Linked DNA regions of Mytilus edulis. The protein of the gene in region 1 interacts with the protein of each later gene in a pairwise test. Links are inferred from orthologs where the notes say so. Each region holds a gene or a part of one and is shown on either strand. Other genes may lie near its edges.

Region 1 (7,122 bases):
ACTTCCCCTATATTTCATTTAATTTGTTATATTGTCCAATACATGAATATGTATGATTGAGGGGTGGGGATCTCATCTGTTTCTAAGTTATCAAACAGGAGTGGGTAGGGTGACCCTAAGGACTCTCCCTATATTTCATTTGATTAGTTCTCATACATGAATATATATGGTTTAATTTAAAGGTGGGGATCTCGACTGTTTCGAATTTCTCAATCAGGTGACTGCAGGGACTCCCCCTATATTTCATTTAATTTAGAGTTGGGGATCCCAACTGTTTCAAAGTTCTTAAATATGAGGGGTAGGGGGACCACAGGGACTTCCCCTATATTTCATTTGATTTGTTATATAGTCTTATACATGAGTATATATCATTTATATGGTTAAGGGGTGATGATCTCGAATTTTTCCAAGTTCTCAAACAGGAGGGTGTACAGTGACCCCCTAATAATTCATTTGATTTGTAATATTGTCCCATACATAAATATATATTGTTTAAGATTGTGGATCTCGACCGTTATAAATTCTCAAACAGAAAGGGGTAGTTAGAGTGGCCCAACGAACTCCACCTATATTTCATATGATTTGTTATTTTGTCCCATACATGAATATATATGGTTTAGGGGTGGGGATCTTGACCATTACCAAGTTTTTGTCATTTTGGTCTCTTGTGGATAGTTGTCTCATTGGCAATCATACCACATCTTTTTTTTTTTATATAAGAAACTTCGATCCAGCTATTTTAACTGACCTATCAAAATTGAGAAGAAAAAAATACCCCTTGAAATTGCAGTAATATGTTTAACTTGAAAAGCATTTAACATTCATTACCAACATTTATCACTGATAAAAAAAATTATACTGCTACCAGGAACATATATATTGTTAGATAAACTGTTCCCAGCTGTCACATTGTATTGGATTTTGACATTAAAATTGCATTGGTGTACAAAATATTTTCTGCTTTTTCTTTCTTTTACATATATCTTTTGGTTTTAAATTCTAGGGTTTATATTTATTTACCAGGCATAGATGTATTTTGTCACCTGTCTGGATTTTTTTAGCTGATAGCCAAAACCTGGGATTACCCTTATCCGCTTCCGGAATCGGATCTGATATTGTAATCTCGCGGCAGCCATTTTGTTTTCAATGTTGTTTTTGACAGATAGTGAGATACGATTTTACTCGGATTTACACACATTATTTATCGGCGATTTTCTGTATAAAGCTAGCGGTTGAACAAATTGAACATCGCTGTCATGAATGGTAATGATGAAAATAAGTTTGAGATCGTTTATTAGGAAACTTCGGTAAAAATATTTGCAAAGTTATTTTTTTTATTTTCTTTCAAGGTCCGTCGGGCGTAGCTAGTAACCAAGTAGAAAGTCCGACTGCAAAAGTGGAAGGTCGCAGACCTCACACCACCGCTAATTTGAACCCCTGCGTCAAAATTGATAAGATACGAAAATTTCGTCTTCTATTAATTCAAAATTGCCGCTAACAGTGTGATCAGTTGAACTTATATTAATAGACTACTGACGTATATATACGTAGTTGACTACGTATTGACGACAAACAATATTCCTACGACTTTTGTAATTTGGGAAATCTTAACTACTTGTCTTTAGAGATTTTCGGCGATTAAATATTTCATACATTTGTTCTTTGACATCTTAGCCAAAAGCTCAGGGGATAATAAACTACATAAGGATTCCTAATGTGCTCTACTTCCTATGTGCAACTTCAAAACTTTTGGGAAAATCGACGATCACTTAAGGTTTTTCTGGTCATATTTTTTGTAATCCAGAATGAAAAGTATGAAAAAACTGTCCAATAAGTTATGAATAATATAGTAGCCAGCTAGATGATAACAATGGCACGTATTTCAGCATTTATTGGGTAGCACACAAATCCAGGGCGCTCGCATAAGGCAGCTTAACTGCCTAAAAAACTATTTTGCCCAAAATCAGAATGATTTCATGTTCGCTCTCAGTAACAAGTACCGGAATTGAAAGAAAGTGTTTCGTAAAAAGTTATTTATATTAAATAGCATACGATCAATTTGTATAGTCAATGCTTTTATCACGTTTATAAAGAAAGCAATTGATTGTGTCTTTGATTATAGGATGTTTGACATTGTTATCGTCATCAACTGATATATTTCGTTTCATTTGTTTGACTGCGCATGTAAAATGCAAACCAGAAACGGACCGGAAGTTGATATGCTAAAAGTCCGGAAACTGTAAAGACATTCGATTGAACAAAATCCCAATCGATTATCGACATCGCAAGGCCCAACCAACTGATTTACGACTTATTCCGATCATCAGAACACCACTAGTGGCCTTCAGCTCTGTTTTTTACTCTTTGATTGGGTTGTTGTTTAAATAAGAGAGCAAATGAGAATGGGATCGGACAAGATTTTGGTCGATCAATCTCAGATTCAAGTCTTTTGTCTATCAAAATAAAGATCAATAATTAACTTAAAAGGTTTGGCAATTAAATGTAGAACAGTTAAATGAAATCTTGAGTCTATGATTCCCAAATTTTGTTATTTATTGTCTTGTTCCTACATGTATTTTTTTATCCAATAGTGATCAGCTGTTTTGTGACATTCGACCTTCACCGTTGTTATTTATTTTTATTTTTGTGTGACGATCGATGTCCATTATAAATTACGAAACGATAGAAATAATTTATTTACAGATATCAGCACTATGAATTTTGATATCATTGATCTCTTTTGGGTTTTTTTTATTTGTAGTTTCAGATGAAATCTGACATAATGACTTGTAAAAAGATGACATCGTCATACTCACCAAGAATAAATTCCCATTGCTCGTTTCCAAGTGACCTTTCCGGGACTACTTCTAGATCGAGCATGGTAATTTAAAGTTATTGTTTCTATCGGCATTAAGATAAAGGTTTTATAATGAAACGTTATAAAATTCTATAGACATTTTTAGACTGTTGATTCTGGTTTGTTGTCATTATGATATCGCCATTTTTGTTTTGGTTTATTCAACCTGCGCAATGCATCTTTAATTTAGCGCCAAATTCAAATAACCTGAAATATACATAATTTATCACACCTAAGACACCTAAGTATAAAGGATTTGTAAAGTAAATACTACTTGCATGTCTTGCATGGGTACACATACGCACTTGGAAGATAGACCCCCTGGTCTTGTTTCTTTTTCTTTCAACAAGTGACTATTTAAAAAATTATTAGAGTGCACCCTGATAGTTGACAGGTGAGGGCCCTCATGGGGTTTTTGATTATGTGATTACTTGGCCGTTTTTTTAATGATTATTTGATTATTAAGCCAAATATTTCATGATTATTTGATTACCTAGGACTGTATTTTTAGTTTATGATTATTTGATTACTAAAGATAAGCAAATATTTAATGATTATGTGATTATATTGGCAAAAAAATGGTGATTATGTGATTACTAGGACCCCCCATGAGGGGCCTCACAGGTCGAGGTGATGAACCAGTTGAGTTTAACATTAAATATCTAATTGGTCAATCCAAAGAGTAAATCCTTGGTCAGGTCAATCTAAATGGCCGGACATATTAATCATGTATCTTCAATGATTATTTAAGCTACGAATGTAACCCTCACCAAGGACTTACGATCTTTCAATATAAGTAAAGGGATGTGCTGAGTATACATCAATGAGACAGCGACCCAACTACAAAAAAATAAGAAACAAGGCGCATTCATCATGATTTATATGACCACATGCAGTATTTTAAAAACTACAGACAGGTGTCTACACACATCTGTAATGTACTGAACTCTGCCATGTCTTGCGGGAATTTTTTTTATAGGAAACTTTTAGTTTTCTATTTCCGTAATTTTTTATTCACAGTAATTTCAGGACCTCAACAATTCTGTCTCGGAGGATATTCTTAACTTTTACAATGTGTTATCGTGTTAGGAAATAATTTTGAATCTGAGCCTTAGCCTCTTCGTGGGGTTTTAAATGATTGTGTGATTACATTGCCGTTTCTATAGTGATTATGCAATAATTCAGGAGCTCCTTAAATTTGACTAAATCCACACCTCATAGATTATATTCATATCGGTCTCATCAGTATTAAAGATGCGTTTAAGTGTATTCTGAATGCCTATTTTATTCACTCAGATCACCAAGCCTTTTAAAATTTGCTGATATAACATTCGGATTTAGTACCATACTGCCAGCTGCACTTCCTTTGAAGGTTTCCAAATATATATAGATATGGGTGAAGATAATTCAGTCCTTTTCTTGCACCAGTCATACCTAGCTGTTAACTTTCTTTATTAAAGGAACACTTCTTCTAAATCTAGCAACCATTTCTTTAGCCATAAAGATTACGAACACGGGTTATGGTCAGACAAATTATTTTTTTCGTTTTCATTTTCGAGATATGATCGACCAACAAGAATGTCTTCCTCTGTAGCTATTCGCACGTGCTGTTAGTTTAGTTACATCTATTTCAGATGTCTCGACATTCTTGTCTTATAGGAACATCGTTTATATTCAGACATTATTTAGACATGACTTGTCAGACGAACTGCTCTTGAAAGGGGTTTCTTTTTCCATTTCCTCGCTCTGTGGCCAATACCTTCTTCTTCTTAGCCATGAAAATCTGTTAGTAAATTATGTAGAAAATCATATACATTTAATTCCAGACAGGATCAGAACCATAAAATCATTACACTTATCATTGTTATTACACATACATTAATTAACATTTCCTTTAACATCTAGACATGTAATAATATAGCTCCCTAAATATCTAAGTACAGACAAATTTTTATTAGTAAATAACCAAACAAATTTTGCCTCATTTGAAAGATGTATAAAATTAGGACAAATACAGTTTATCTCCTTGAAAAATATCTCCCTATCGTTTTTGTATGCTAGCTGAACAACTAGTTATAAAATGTTGTTCATCTTCAACCAGATTTAGAGTACACTTCTTACAAAGCCTATAATGTTTTATACCTGTCTCTTTCTATTTTGAGATCATGTGCACTGATTCTAATTTTACATATGGCACTTCTCAATTGAAAATTGTTTAAAGATAGATACATTTCTTTCGAAAAACAAGTTTTAAGTTTGAAATAAGTATCTAATTTACTACTCTGTGTATCTCATTCTGTTCTTTTTGTGTTCCTAACTTTTACAAAACTTTTACAAAGTTTTTGCTTAACTGACTTGATAAAAAAGAAGAGCTTCACCTCCAAATTATGAATATTCAGCTTTTTAAAAATACCAGCATTCAATATTATTATTAAACATGTTTTTGTTACACATATAGGTATCATACAGTAAACCATCTTTCATATTCTTATTCTAAACCAATATTTTAGCATTGATAATACAACTGAAAAATATAAAGGGAATCTACCAAGCTCTTCTAGCACAGCTAGGTTAGAAGACTTTTTGTTTACACCTAATATATACTTCATATATCTTAAATTGGATTTATCTAAAAAATAATTCATATAAATATGCTGTAATAAATATTCACTTTCTTTCTGGCATGCTGCAGAGCTAGTTTTAAACATACCTGTAATTTCACTGCCATACATTAAAATGTTTTTTATTGTATGGTCATATATATGTAATAGAGTAGAAATACTTGGATTGGAAGATGATTAAGATCTTTGTAATTTGAATACAGCTTTTACTGATTTTTTGTATAATTCTTCCTTTCCTTGCTTAAAAAGTCCACTAGATATAAATTTTAAACCTAAATACTTATAATTGTTAACACATTCTATTGTATCTTTTTCGAAATAAAAATATTCTTTTAAAAGTTTACCAGGTTTGTTAAATATAAAATTGTTGTATATACAATTTCATTTCGTTTTAAACTAAGAGATGTGGGATTATGGTTGTTGGAACATGAAAGCAAAAAGTCTAGCAAAAGAATCACACTCGAGAAGTTAGAGCAAATTTTTTAAGTCAGAATAATGTGTTTGGGTAGAGCATGTCTTCCTGTGATCTATTAGCTAGGACTACAAATCCGACTCAGCGTGTCTGTATGATACATAACATGGTTCATATAAAATGATATATATATCGACACCTTTTCGTCCGGACATGAAAAAGTTGCCATTGGACCATTAACACTAATTTATCGTCACCATCTAAAAGTTAATCCAACATACTCCAACAAATTTGCAGATTCCTTGCTTCAATCATCGCGTAAATAAGTTCAGGTTAACCCCAAACGTTCAAAAATTATCGGCATTCGCACAAAAAGTTTTACAGAAAGTGGAGTCGGTTCCAAATTTGTTAAAAGTAATCTTTAAAAGGTGAATAAGATCAAGATCTTCAAAACTCAACCATTTATATATGGAATGCAGATCACTGATTCACAAGATGTCATAAACATACAAGTGAAGCTCATTGTGTGAAAAGTTTTATAGTTGCATTAAGGCATACAGGAGTTGCAGTGCACGTGAATAAGAGATATAAATTATCCATCAATTCCTTATCGATAAGCACACATTAATATGAGGGAAGGAATAGCTTTAATTGTTAAAATAGCCTAAAATTTGAAGCAGCATTCGTCAGAATTTTTAGCTGTCGTTTATAGTGTCAATAGAGTAAATAATTTATGCTAATCGTTTATTTTAGGCAAAAGTATATTGCATCGTCATCTCTGGTATATCATACTTTCGGCATATATACTACTCATAGAAAATTTAATTTTGCAACACATCTATTGAGATGAATCATCATGGGAATCAAATTATAAAGCCCGGGTCATATCTTTGCAGAAAAATGCTTAAAGGGATATGAAATATTAACAGCATGCCTGATTTAAAGAGTGTTTGAGCAATTACAGAAGAAAATGGAAAAAAGTATGATACAAATATTTTTTTCGTGGGAGGAGTGCCACGCCAATTTTTACGAGGGAAATGATAGTTTCTGTTTTTAAAACAAAAAAAATGTGACTTTCAATTATAACCCTTCCCTCAAAGTTTGTCAACAGTGAAGCTGATTGAAATTCGCCAATTAATGTAATTGTAGTCCTAAATAGCACAAATCTTATTGGAGATGAAGAAAACACAAACATAAATAAATAAAAAATATGTTTTCTTTATTTTTTTATT
Region 2 (7,432 bases), on another chromosome or scaffold:
TTATATTTTTAAATCTTTGCCTTCACTTTAAAAAGTTACTTACCTTCTTGTTGTAGTTGTGTTAAGAATAATGATAAATAAGTATCTGATATAAGTTCTGGGCCTGTAAGTAGTGAGTTTAAATTAAACCATTGATAACCAAGTTTTCTTATTGCTAACCAGTGTTCTCGAAAATTGCATATGTAAGCATTCATTTCTCTGCAAAAAAAATAAATATAAAAATATTATTAGTATCAATCTGTCTGATGATGAAAGCTGATTTTATCATCTTCACAATTTATCATGATTTATAGAAAAAAATTATTACAAATAGTGTTGGACACCACAGCAAACTGTTTCAATAATTTACTAGTCTACACATATAAAGAATAAGACAACAATATGCTAGCAACATTAGCTGAATTAATACTAGTACAATATGTACTAAGACATAATCTTTCAATCAGTTTAATTGAGGTCTGGAGCTGGCATGTCAGTTAACTGCTAGTAGTCTGTTGTTATTTTTGTATTATTGTCATTTTATTTATTTTCTTTTGTTACATCTTCTGACATCAGACTGGGACTTCTCTTGAACTGAATTTTAATGTGCGTATTGTTATGCATTTACTTTTCTACATTGGCTAGAGGTATAGGGGGAGGCTTGAGATCTCATCATGTTTAACCCTGCCGCAATTTTGCGCCTGTCCCAAGTCAGGAGCCTCTGGCCTTTGTTAGTCTTGTATGGTTTTTAATTTTAGTTTCTTGTGTATAATTCAGAGTTTAGTATGACGTCCATTATCACTGTACTAGTATACATATTTTTTATGGGGCCAGCTGAAGGACGCCTTCGGGTGCGGGAGTTTCTCGCTACATTGAAGACCAATTGGTGGCCTTTGGTTGTTGTCACTTTGACAGATTCCCCATTTCCTTTCTCAATTTTATGATCAGACTTGTACACTATTCTTCAAAAATATCAATAATGTTTTCTTTACGACCTGACTGGAGATTAGTTAGAATCGTTGAAAATGTAGTTTTTCCTTGTCATTTACTAAAAAATGTCAATATAAATTCATTCATTAGCATTTAAGTCTGTTTATATTTATAATTAAGGTGATGGTATTTCAAGTGTTTTATCATAACTTTTAGTGGGACTCATGTTGCTCAGTCTCTAGTTTCTATGGTGAGTTTTATGTACTGGTGTTTGTCTGTTTGTCTTTTTATTTTCTAGTGAAAGTTTTTATCTTTTTATGTGCATGTTGTAATTTTATGTAATGAATTGATACACCAAATATCAAATTTCTTTGGTTGACCTTTGACATTGAAATCAACAAGATTCTCCCTTTCCAATTTGGATAATGTACAAAATGTATACATATTTCATAAATGTTACTCAGATTAATATGTAGATATATGCAATACATACTATATTGTATCATTCTTTTCTGAAAGCTATCTGCCAACCTTAGATTCTTAACATCATATTATAATTACTCACACAGGGTTAGTCCTAGCTGTTGCAGCAATAGGATCTTGTGAATTATAGGGTAACAGATGTAAACCCCATACTGACAGTCCTTTTTCTATTACTTGTATTGAAAAAAATCCACTGTCATCAAAATTATTGGATGGTTGCTGAAAATTAGATTTAAAACTTTATCTTGAGTACCGGTATACTTCATGTACATGTACATGTATTTTGTATAATTAATCATCATACATGTACATGTACATGTAGTATTATAATACATGTTATAACATTTCTTATCAATTTTCCAGAAATAACAAACTATTTAAGATTTATACAACTCCTTGTTTATAGAAATGAAATAATACATGACACAAGGCTTGCTAAATGTATATATACAAATGTATATCCAAATTGTTCACGTTGTTGGTAAACAGGGAGTGACATACATTTGTACATGTACCATACATGTAGATGATGTTTTATTTATTTCCAGACATTTTAAGGTATCTGCACAGTTATGCAATATCACAAATAACATGACATTCTCTCTAACTATGATCACACTCTCAGTCTCTGTCTCATTCTGCAAACACATCTATATCCTTGGCCTATTCAAATTTTACAAGTTATAACAAAATCTCCATAATTCCCCATTTTTATTAAGCTATATGATTCTTAAGAACATTTCCGCACTTTCTAGACTTCCAGTAAAGTCAATGAGAATAAACATGGTGAAGTACATGTACATGTATATAATGTACAGTATATTAAACAAACAAAAATTTGTAAGCATATTCTTCAACTTAAACTTGACGCACAGAAACAAAAAGAATGAATTTAGTGTGGTAAATACAATATATCATTATTTTACCTCCATAAATCTTTTATATTCTTCAGTTTGTATGCCACCTACTGCCATTTGTTCTCTTTCTGATTCATCTAACTGCTGAGCAATTTCTGCTAAATCTACTGGACTGAAGTACTGTCCTTGTATTAAGGCATTTAGACAGTGTTGTGCACACAGGGAACCCTCTTGCTAAAATTAAAGCATAGGTAACCTATGATTGATCATTACATAATATCGTATACTTACAATTGCAATTTAAGTTTCTGATTGTAATACACTGTACCAAATTTAATAGAAACCCAACAAAAGAGTTACCCCTCTTTGATGATGAAAATTTCATTTAAGTTCTAACACACTTTAAGATTTTCCTAAATTTATGACAGTCAAACGTCAACGAAATAAAAGTACACTGACCAAATATAATTGCTTAAGGTCACTTGAAGATACAGTTAAACTGTAGTATGGCATCAAATCTGGTGATTTTGTCAGTGATGCTGATAGTGATAGACAAAAATGTCACGACTGCGGTCAAAGGACGGTTCAGTTGACCACTCAGACTACCGAATCCTAATGCAAGCAAGTCTGTTTTATGAAATATATCGAGAAAATGTATAAAGTTGTCACTGTAAAGACAACTTTTACCTGTTCATGAAAAATTGTGTCCATTTCAGTCCCGGTGATGAATTTTATTAGGGGAGGTAACTGTTGTCTAATGGTACATCGGACTACCTACCATTTTTTTTAAATAGTGAGAAGAATGCAACGGTCTCCTTTCTTATTATATGAAATCAGTTTGATTTCCAATGAAAATTAAGGGGAAAGATATGATTTACATAATGATAAACATTTCGTTAGAGTAGAGCCAGTTAGATGTTGAAGGTTCAAATATGGCGTCGGCGTCCGGTTTTAGACCCAAATGGGCTAATACTCCGCTTTAATGCGCCTCCGATTGAGGAACACAAAAAATTGTGTGTAAACAAAAAATCTCTGTGTAGTGATATTGAACATATATCTATGTTAACACATGACTGCGCTTAACCATTTGTGTTGATTTGGAAAGAAGAGGACCATAGAATAAATGTGTGAAAAATATAGAGTTATTTAATGTATTCCGTTCAAAGTACTTGTATTACATTTTCAAAGATATTATTGTGTGAAGAAGGAGATATTTTTACCACGATGAGTCGCATCGCGAAAGGATTTTTTGGGTATGCTTATTTACGGGAAAATGAATCACACTTCTTACCCCTTCTAGGAGAGGGTAGGAGGGGTCCTGATCCCGAATCCCGGGCTTAAATACTAGAAATCCCGAGGTCCCGATATTAAATAAATTTAAATCCCGACATCACGAAATTCGAGAAAAGAATTCCCTGATCCCGAAAGGGTCAATCCCGAAATCCGATAAAGGTCCTATCCCCCCTCCTTCAACCACACATGTGAAAATGTCTCAGCTTCGAAAGGAGCCATCATACATATCCAAGTTTGCGATACGGACTGAGCTACAGAAGAAAACGTTACCATTACCGCCTATAGCGAAACAATTGCGCATATTGCCCCAAATATGGTTTCGGCGCTCGCGTCGGCAGGCCCAGCTTTGGCGTCGGCGTCCAACGCTAAAGATAAATTCTAATTGTAGCTTGCTCGGTATGCCGTCTGGACGATATTTTGAAAGTGACAGTGTTTGCTACAAGTTGAACCTTTTACGGATGTTTCAACACTGAACTTTTTGGTTCATGAATATACTACGAGGTTTATATCCATTTGCTAGTAGATTTTTTTGTTGTTGTTAAATTTTTGTTGTTGATTTAACTTTACATAAAAATTGTATAGTCACCTATCTGTAATCGCTGTGAACGTTAACTTGAACTTTACATGCATGCAACTGAAGTGTGAAAAGGTAACCTAGTTCTCGTGAATGCAACGTTACTCGACTTCAGAACCCGGCATGTCTTAGTATCCAAAGAGGTAGTCTATAGGGTGAACTTTCAATATAAGTTAATAACACGTAAAATTTAGATTAGAGTGGTGTGTGATCGGCTGCCAGATATGATCTGATATGATCCCATTAGGTCATGCGAATATTTAGACAATAATTCAAAGTAGCTAATGCATGTCATGTATCCTTGAACTTGTTTTTATGTTATCTTTAATACAACTTTGCTTAAAGCATGCGAACATGATAGAACATATGAACGTCGACCAGTTTCTGGTCACCTTGCATTCCTTTCACTTGTTCTGATATATATCCCAGGGGCGGATCCAGAGTTTTGGAAAGGGGGGCGGAAGTGTCAAAGCTTTTGGGACCTTTTTGGGCTAAAAAACATAAAATAAGTGTCAGTATATGTACTATTTAAACGGTTTGCTGGCGTGGGGCATGTATTTTTTTTTTTTATAGTTGCTGTAAAGTGTAAGGGTTGGAAATTTTTGATGCTGTTTTCTCTCTATTAATTGTCTATCATATAATGATAGTATGGATCCAAAGCTATGTACTGATATATTTGATGTGGGATTTGTCAGTAAAAAATAGACATGGAAATTCTCGCCGGTTTGTTGCAAGTTAAGTTGTCATAACCTCACAGATTTCTTCTTGTAAACAAGATATACGCCGGGCTATTCGATGAAATTTACAATACGGCCGACACGAGTTAAAAGGACAAACATGCAGTTTTTATCCAAATGTTTGGTTGATATGTTTCACTCAACAAAACTAAGGAAAGTGAGGGGTTCCAAATCAACCAAAGGCTACGAAAGAGTCTGAAATGACAACGAATTTATGAATAACGGTCGACAAATGGAGACATAAAGGCCACACCCAGCAGGCAGGTTACAGTCTGGTCTTGAAAAAAGTATTCAATATATAAGTCCGGCGAAACAGACATTCAGGTCAGACATGCAAACCTCGGCCACAAAAAAAATACGCCCGTTTTTATTCATCATGTTCATTTAATGCTAAATAATTTTGTTGGCTAATAGCAAAAAAAGTGGACAAGACTATTGTTTCAATCCAGATACGGCCAGAACTGAGTTTTTCTTAAGGCAAGAATCAGAGTCAAATTTTTTTTCTCTCAAATATCTCTGACTGACACCTCAAATAAAATGGTTTGTACCTGAGACTTGAAATATTTCTAGAGCTTATAAATACTGACTGGGGATCATTATTCAATTTGTTATTTATAAAAATAGGTTGGGGCATTTGGGGTTAAACATGTTTTCGTAGGTAAATAATATGGTGGAACATTTTCTCATGAGAGTGTATTAGTCTATAGAGTATTTACTATTACTTTCTGTTTGGTGGAATAGTGAAATAGAAGTAAATACGTTCTTGCTCAATCCTGTTTCGCTATAAAGGTTTCATGATTGTCATGACATCCTCAGCCTAAGTAATGTGTTACTGTAATTTGAATTTCAAAATGACCGAGTGACATTTTTTCAATGCACTGGTCACCTCCACCATAGCAAATCACATGACTTTGACAATCAGTTAATATTCAGCTAAAATATCTTTATAAGTAAAGAATTGTCGTATTTATAAAAATTAAATACACGGGAAATGGCAAAGTTCACGAAGTCTAGTCTGATTAATCATTTTACAAAAAAAAAAAAAAAAAAGTCCGAGCAAAAGGGGGGGGGGGGCGGGGGCGTACGCCCTCTACTCCCCCCCTCTGAATCCGCCACTGTATCCTTAATTGTCGCTGTCATGAAATTATGACAACCCATATGTATCTAATTTGTTTTGCTCTCCACACAACACATTAATTCTTTATAAAATGAACAATATATATGTGCCTGTCCCAAGTCAGGAGCCTGTAATTCAGTGGTTGTCGTTTGTTTATGTGTTACATATTTGTTTTTCGTTCATTTTTTTTATATAGAGGCTGTTAGTTTTCTCGTTTGCATTGTTTTACATTGTCATTTCGAGGTCTTTTATAGCTGACTATGCGGTATGGGCTATGCTCATTGTTGAATGCCGTACGGTGACCTATAGTTGTTAATTTCTGTGTCATTTTGGTCTCTTGCATGTGGAGAGAGTTGTCTCCGTGATTGGCAATCATACCACATCTCCTTTCTTATAAACAAGAAAAAAAGAAAAAAAAAAACTATTGCAGCAAATATGAATAAAGATGGGTGAAGGGTAAACGTCAATACAACAGCAACTAACACCACTGACAGAAATAACAAGACTTAATATTTCAAACTCTGAGTCTATCGATTTGTGAATAAATCTGCAATTAGGGAGCCTGCATTCTTTGCGGCCTACACTGGCTGAGACGGATTGAGGATTTTTGAAAGGGGAACTTGATTCAAGAGAACTGAATATATACCGCTGAGCGGAGCTTGTCGAAAAATTCTTTGGACGACTTTATGCTAAAAAATATATGTTTTTCAGTCATAAGGGGGGGAGGGCAGGGCCGTAACTAGGGTTTTAATTCAGGGGAGGCAGGGGTTTGGAGGCCGCCGATTGAGGCCCTCAAGATCAGGGGTTCGGGGGCGCAGCCCCCGCCGATTTTTTTCTCTCGGTAAAATGGCTAAAAATGACCTTTTCCTTCGATTTCCTCACTTTAGGAAACATCAGTATTGTTGAAACGTGAAGCAATTTTTATGTAAAAACAAGCTGAGGTTGCTGTTCGGAGTGAGCGAAGGCTTCGTCCTGAAGGTCGTACTTTGGCCTATAAATATTAAAATTAAATACATCGTGACCGCAGATTTTTTGGTTTTCTCTCGATAAAATCAGTGGCTTAAAATGACCTGTTTTCCTTCGATTTCCATCAGTATTGTTGGATCCTGGAAGCAATTTTTATGCAAACAATTATTATCTGTATTTAAAGATTATTTTGTTAGAAATCAAACTGGTAAGTTAAAAAACATATAAAGCAAGATCAAAGAACACAAGATATTCTTTTTATCGGGGACCATGAATATCAATTTTGTTGAAAGCTGAACAGACATGTATATAACTACAACCAGATAATATTTATATACGTCTAGTATATACTTAGTATTAAAAGTCCCTGCTACAACGAATGGGAGTATTAAACTACTAAGGCATTGACCATAATGACATTGTTGTTCTCGTTTCTCGTACGATCGGGAGACGTTAAAAAAATTATTCTAACAGTTGATTCAGCCGGTAACGAATT
Region 3 (7,611 bases), on another chromosome or scaffold:
CCGATAAGTCTTTTTTGTATATGTCGCAATTATTTTTAATCCTGTTATTTATGATGATTTTACTGAGAAAATTACAGTCGTATATGGTTTGAGTAAGTGGAACATATCCGTGGTTATATCTGGCACAAATATTTCAATATGCATGTTATGCATGTTATGGTGAATCAAATATTGAATGCGTCTGTTAAACTTTCAAAGGATGTCTAAACTTTACCATTAGGTTCTCAGAAGCCCTGGAATACTAAAAAACTTGGACGTATATACATAGGAAACAGGCACTGTTGATATTTTGCTACGCCGAAATTGAACGCTTACTCGTTACGACACACTAGATGATTTCAATTTAATCACTGTCGCAATGTGAAAATTGAAATCATCTCGTGTTTCGTTATGCTTAGGCACACCTGAATTATAACTTTATTTACGGTATAAGTCAAAATATGAAGATAAACTAGAGAATGGAAATGGGGAATGTGTCAAAGAGACAACAACCCGACCATATAACAGACAACAGCAGAAGGTCACCAACAGGTCTTCAATGAAGCGAGAAATTCCCGCACTTTACACAAGTATTCCACATTCCAAACTAAAAGACAAATTGAAAGAGTTGGTATTACTTTGCTTCATAAAAAAGAATGGCCAACGTAGATACAAGTATCTTGTCTTAGGGAGGGATAAATCATACTTTGTAAAGAATCACTCTGATTCAAACAAAAAATTCTCTCTGAAACCGATATTATCAAGATGCTTGATTTCTTGATTGACAACATATTTGTAACGTTCGGAGAACGTGTTTTTCAACAGACTGTCGGCATCCCAATGGGAACAAACTTTGCCCCTCTACTTGCCGACTTGTTTTTTTATTATTATGAGGCTGACTTCGTGCAGAAACTTCTTAGGAAGAAAGATAGGAAGTTAGCAATATCCTTTAACTCTACTTTCCGCTATATAGATGACGTTAAAACGGTTCTTTCACTAAACAATTCAAAATTTGGTGACTATGTGGAACGCATCTATCCCATCGAATTGGAGATAAAGGATACTACAGATACAGTTAAGTCGGCTTCATATCTTGACTTACATCTAGAAATTGACAATGAGGGTCGGTTGAAAACAAAACTTTACGACAAAAGAGATGATTTCAGCTTTCCAATTGTGAACTTTCCATTTCTAAGTAGCAACATTCCAGCAGCACCTGCATACGGGGTATATATCTCCCAATTGATACGATATTCCCGTGCTTGCATTTCCTATCATGATTTTCTTGATAGAGGGTTACTGCTCACAAGGAAGCTATTAAATCAAGAGTTCCAAATGGTGAAGTTGAAATCATCCCTTCGTAAATTTTACGGACGCCATCACGCGTTGATTGACCGTTATGGAATAACCGTTTCACAAATGATATCGGATATGTTCCTTACGTCGTAACTACAATCCCCTTCCCTTTCATGAATGTGACCTACCGAATAAGACTATTTACCGGATTTGTAATCACATAAGCAACACGACGGGTGCCACATGTGGAGCAGGATCTGCTCACCCTTCCGGAGCACCTGAGATCACCCCTAATTTTTGGTGGGGTTCGTGTTGTTTATTCTTTAGTTTTCTATGTTGTGTCATGTGTACTATTGTTTTTCTGTTTGTCTTTTTCATTTTTAGCCATGGCGTTGTCAGTTTGTTTTAGATTTATGAGTTTGACTGTCCCTTTGGTATCTTTCGTCCCTCTTTTACTCAATCTGTGGTACCATGTATTTCATGTTTCATGAGTAAGCGTTCAACATAATCACACAATTTTGCATTATTTGTTGAGAGGAAATCTTCTGTACAAAGCGGGAAGTTTTTGTTACTTTTAGACTCGTTATAATAAGGGATTGGGACTATTTGTTGAAAACACTTAAATTAAACGTAACCATTATAATTCGTCTTAACTCAAACGAACATTCGCTTTATATTGAATGTTTGTCTCATTGGCAATCATACAACATCTTATTTTTATATTATATATTTATCATTAGATATTTTTAAAAAAAAAAGCGGATTTCAAGTACAATCATATGCAGCTAGTAGGCCTACTCCGAGGAAAGAATTATAGTTTAATGAATTATTTACATTTTGATTTTGTGGAAATGATAAGCCTCCGTCAATGTTGGTATCTATGTGTCCAAGTTTATAATGGTGTAACTTTAGTGTTTGGCTAGCCACAAAACCAGGTTCAACCCACTATTTTTTTCTTAAATGTAACAAGTCAGGAAAATTGCAGTTGTTATCTTATAGGTCGCTTCTGTCTGTGTTGCATTGTCTTTTTTTTTTTCACTTCAGTGTTTCTGTTGTTTCGTTGTTTTCCTCTTATAGTGTTGTTTTCCTCGGTTTTAGTTTGTAAAACCTATTTGTTTTCTCTCAATCGATTTTTTTTACCTTCGATTAGCGGTATGCTACTGTTTTCTTTATTTGCATACATCTGTTGAAATTTTCTTATTTCCTAACTTACCTACTTACTTAATTAATTACTACCCTATGCGCCATTTCTTGTAGTAGTGTGTCTGGTAGAGTTGAATAGCCTTTGCCTCTACAGTTCTCCAAATTTTATTTATGGTCTTGCTTTCGTTCTTTTAAAAACAAATTGCACAGTCGAGTGCTGTTGAAGTGGTATTCTCTTTCTCTTTCCGTATGACATGTCTGATCCAGCATCTTCACATTATAGTTCTAAATTCTGGTTGGTATCTGATTAGAGTGTTATGGTTTGAAATTTGTTTGTGGCCAGAAGATTCAAAGAATCCTTCTGAAGCTTTCTGATATAGAATACAGGCCGCTTGTTTTGATCGTAATTTGTCATCCTCCATAATTCAGCGGCAAACAAAAGTACAACAACAATGGCGGATCCAGGGGGAGGGTTCCGGGGGTTGGAACTCCCCCCTTTTTTTTTTAAATGGCTAGATTCGCCCCTGAACAAGACTTAATGCTGTAAAGTTTGTGTATGGTTCGCATAGAATATTGTTTATCTCAGTTCAGCCTGTAGATTGTTAAAAGCTGCCATTGTCTTATATAGGCGTCTTTTGATGGCAGGTTCTGCTCCTCCATTGGTAGAAAGTGATACTAAGTTATATGAAAGTGTGAACATGCAGTAATGTTCTACATCCATTTTACAGACCCTGAGTTGTTTAAACCTAGCGTCATGATACTAGTTTTCTTTATATTGATTCGAATCCAATTTGTTCTATATATGTTTTGTGTGTGAAACATTGATGCTAAATAAGCAAAATCTATAGTAATGGTTGTCATGATCTTACTTTGGATGGAAAATACTGTAGTGCCTCGCCAGTTGTTACAATCATTAAGTGTTATGATACTTATGTCTGTCACATGGCATCAGATCTTTCTTCTCGATGTTTTTTTAAAGATGTTTTAGAGCAGAGTGGTAGATAACATTGATAAGTCCCATTCCCAAAGAGTTCGGCATTCAGATTGTCATTTTCATATGATTTTCCATTTTTTTACTTTTATTTGCAGACTTCATCTAATGCTTTTCGTGTGGTTTTATGTTGATTTCTATTCCATTATTATTCTCTTTCATAATAGGGCGTTCAGAAGATTTAGTAGCTCAATGAAATGGTCTGTTAACAAATTCACTTTATTATTTATTGAAGGAGGCTTTGAAACTTTATTTAACATAGCTACTGCTTCACTGAATACGCACATTCTCCATGTTCAATTTATGACAATATATCGAAAATGGTTTAAACAATAAAACCTGAGTAGTGATATTATCATGACAAATCTCATATTCAAGTAGTTTGCCCATTTCAGCAAATATTGGCAATTTAAAAAATCAAAACCATTAGTTTAATCAGACAAAAACTGTTTATAAAACATTAACACCAATAGTTGGAGTACTGCTAAAAGTTAATGTATGGATTATCAAGTGTTATCAAGATTTAGTGTAAAAAAAAAAGTAAAAATCCCTCATTTACCATATTGAGACGGTATTGAGGATACATCGTGTTCATGAACAGTGTAGTATTTTTAGGTGATATCTAAACTTTAGATTGCATGTGTTATTTTCTTCTTTTTTTCCAATTTAATATTCGTGAAAACCTCAAAAAGCTTTGATCTATATTTGTTTGATCTTAATTGCTTTACTCTTTCGGTTGCAGTCTTGTAATTGACTGCTCCATAGGCTTACATGTTAAACAGCAGATCTTTGAAATAAAAAATAAAAAAATGCTACATAGAAAAAAAATTTCATGTTCACATCATGTATGTGAATTTTTTTAAGTCTATTTACCTATATGTTTCAATTCAGCATAAACCTATAATCAAACAGAAAAAATTGAGTTCAGAAAAAAATGCATAAACAAATACACTTTTTTGTTTCCCTCCATGTTTTGGAAACTGGAGATGTAATACAAGACTGGTACCTTTCCAGTCACAAATTAAAGTTTTCGGTTTCTTATCCTTTCCGGATCTTTCTCATGTTTATGACGGTTAATTGTTTAAAATTTATTCGTCCAGGAAACGGAAATCTGCAACTTTACTTCGCGGACAGGTCAAAACAAAGCTGACGTCATTTCTGCAACAAGTACATTTGTTTACATTTGTAAAAATTGAAAGAATGTCCGCAGAATCGCCCCGAAAGCACCTTAAATTTGTAAATAATGTTGTTAGACCACAGGGATTCAGGTAAATTTCCATTACATAGCAAGATTATAACATGCATGTACCAGATAATTTGGGACCACTTTATTATGTCAAAGCCAGAAGGATACTGAGCCAGAAATGGGATATGATCGCCAATTTGGATACACAACTGGACCCATGGATCTGCAGGATGAAATTAATCAATAATATATTTCATGAAAATATCTCAATTGGGAAATGAATTAGAATAAATTTCTCAAGCTTGAACTGTTTCGTCCTGATCTTTGAATACACCTTATTGCGATTACCTGATTACTTTTTCGGAACCACAACAGTTACGCAAAATTTTGACATCACAAGAGAAAATGTCTGAAGTACTAAAATGAAAGTGTATCGTTGTATTGGGGTTCCAAACTTGGATCCTGCTTATAATTTGAACAGAATCCCATATTCGCTTCTCTCGTTGCCATTGCAGTGCATGTAATTGCCTGTGTCCCGCCCTTTGTTTCCCATTTTCATGCTTAATTATTAAAGTTGTGCCTGTCGAGCTTAAAATAAACAGTCATGACGGTAAACCTGTACCCATATTAATATACTGGCCTAGTACAAATGGTAATGATATCTTTCAGGCTGTTTGAATTTTAGCTGTGATGTCGTAGGAAACTGTACATATGACTGAATTTTATTAATAGAATTTTAAGACGCTATAACAATTTGGCCTAATTAGTAATATAGGTCCTGCAATACTCTAGGTTTATGAAAAATTAAGGAATATCTTGCACAGCATATTTGTCTCACTAATGACCAAGGAAACATTGTATTGTTCCATTTGTTGAAGACTCAATCACATCTCTTTTCTAGAATTTCATCAGTTTTAAAAATTCTAAATAAAATATCTACTGGATTTTACCTTTAATGGTTTATGCAAGTAAATGTGTATATATATATACATCATGTGCATGCTTACTTTATTTTTCAGTGACAAAACGGTTATGGAAAACGTAGTTGATTTCATATCAGATGTTGTACCACAGGTGAGCAAAAGATGTATTTACACTTTTAAGCAAAGGAGTAGGTCCGGTAAGGGCAGATTTTGGCCTCAAATTTGAATGAATGAATGAATTTTATTTCTCATAAACTACAAATTACATAGTTACAGAGAATATATAAACAATTACATTAAATATTGAAGCACATGTGAACAATACAAACATAAACATTACATTACAAACTAACCAGGAGGAGTGACCCTCACATTTATAATTTTTATAAATCTACCAAGTTTTTCAAGAACAATATAATTATTATAGCTCATTAATTGTTGATATTTATAAATATTTGGACGAAGAGTACAATAGTCATGATAGTATGGTATCAACCTCTTTCTTTCTTGAGTTAGAACATTACATGACATAACATAATGAAATTCATCACCTACGTCTCTTGATTCGCAATTTAAGATGGCACAACCTATCATTTCTTGATATGTTATTCCACCTGATTCAATTAGTTTATGTGAAAGATTCTAACTGATTAAGTCATTAAAAACGCTCTGATTCAAGCTTATATATGAAAAATATATCAAATATGCAAAAAATCGTCACTTTTCAGATGGTTTTTGTCAAAAATGAAAGTGGCCGCATCCTTGTTCATCCTCAACCTTTATCATGTTTATATATGTTATGTATTATCATCAAATACAACTTACATTTCAATATTTTGAATGAACAAGAATGCAGCCACTTTCATTTAAGACGTAAACTGTCTAAAATTTAACTAGAATGCTAAAATTGTGAAGATTTCAGTAATTTAGCATGACTTAATGATGTTAGTACGTGATATATGTGCATTGTATTGTCAAAAACAGGCCATATTTGTGTAGCAGAAGCATTCTTCTTTCCAATTAATAGCTAAAAGATTAAATTTTCACAATTTTGTAAAACTGCTATATTTTGGGGCCAAAAAGAGGTCTTACTGAACCTCCTCCTTTGTCTGCCATTTAATACATGTATGTAAGATCACACAAGTTCCAGTAATCTTTGATATCACAATTGAAAAATGTTTACCTCACAATGAAAAAAAAATGATTGTTGCATGATGTCAGAAGGTTAATCGGAGCAGATCTCAGGTCATTTGAAGACAAAATTCAGTTACAATTAACTGTACATGCAAATAACTATAGTGTATATATGTTTATAGTCTTTTAGACCCTTCTACAACGAAATTTGTTTTACATGCACAAGTATAAAAATTGCGGTTTTTATCCAAAGCAATCATAGGTTTGAACGTAGTTTTCAATTTAGACTTGTTTATGTTTATAGACATACATTCATACAATGATTATATAATTATTTGTACTTATATGCAAATTTGTATGCCATAATTACAGTCAAACACGTTTCCGTAAAACTAGATGAGCGCCCCCCCTCAGGTCAAAATGAAAATTGATATAATTTTTTTAAATATAGATGTAACTTATGTAGTTAAGATAAAAAAAATCAATTTTGTATTAAATACATGTAAAAACCAATTGTGTTTGATAATGTTGATAGAAAGAAAACTAAACAATAGAATTTTAATAAATTTTATTCAATAAAATATGAAAATTGTCTATTTCTATCCAAAAACATTATGTTAAATACATTAGTAGAGCATACATGCATAGGGGTGATTTTTAAAGCAGGAAGGAAAAAAGATCATTCATACTTCATTGAACTTGATGATGTTAGAACAACTTCAGTCATGAAATTATGAGTTGTGCTTATAATAAGTTCTAAATATAAAAAATAAAAAAGATTTTTTTGTTGGATTTCCTGCCATCAGACTATAAAATGCAATTATGTTTTGTACAGTGTTCATTTAATATGAATATAGTAACATAGCTATGGTTGTTTCAGTCCTTTTTCTTAATTTCAGGCCTATAGTGGAAACCAAAAAGTTGATGACAAAGAGAAAATTTTGTGGATGAGATTTGAA

What was found.
Region 2: the proteins of phagosome assembly factor 1-like (region 1) and ataxin-3-like interact in binary tests that used the Homo sapiens proteins (3 or more experiments, as listed by UniProt). The link is inferred for Mytilus edulis from reciprocal best matches to the Homo sapiens genes PHAF1 and ATXN3.
Region 3: the proteins of phagosome assembly factor 1-like (region 1) and BCAS3 microtubule associated cell migration factor-like interact in binary tests that used the Homo sapiens proteins (3 or more experiments, as listed by UniProt). The link is inferred for Mytilus edulis from reciprocal best matches to the Homo sapiens genes PHAF1 and BCAS3.

Annotation. Positions count from the first base shown.
Region 1 is NC_092348.1:64,621,959-64,629,080, reverse strand, and holds the start of phagosome assembly factor 1-like, read right to left. Parts: upstream 3,033-7,122; 5' UTR 2,881-3,032; coding exon 2,817-2,880; intron 1-2,816. UniProt on the Homo sapiens protein: Plays a regulatory role in autophagic activity. In complex with BCAS3, associates with the autophagosome formation site during both non-selective and selective autophagy.
Region 2 is NC_092346.1:61,398,224-61,405,655, forward strand, and holds the start of ataxin-3-like, read right to left. Parts: upstream 3,006-7,432; 5' UTR 2,961-3,005; coding exon 2,937-2,960; intron 2,484-2,936; coding exon 2,319-2,483; intron 1,612-2,318; coding exon 1,475-1,611; intron 199-1,474; coding exon 44-198; intron 1-43. UniProt on the Homo sapiens protein: Deubiquitinating enzyme involved in protein homeostasis maintenance, transcription, cytoskeleton regulation, myogenesis and degradation of misfolded chaperone substrates.
Region 3 is NC_092349.1:73,482,864-73,490,474, forward strand, and holds the start of BCAS3 microtubule associated cell migration factor-like, read left to right. Parts: upstream 1-4,518; 5' UTR 4,519-4,609; coding exon 4,610-4,677; intron 4,678-5,614; coding exon 5,615-5,669; intron 5,670-7,551; coding exon 7,552-7,611. UniProt on the Homo sapiens protein: Plays a role in angiogenesis. Participates in the regulation of cell polarity and directional endothelial cell migration by mediating both the activation and recruitment of CDC42 and the reorganization of the actin cytoskeleton at the cell leading edge.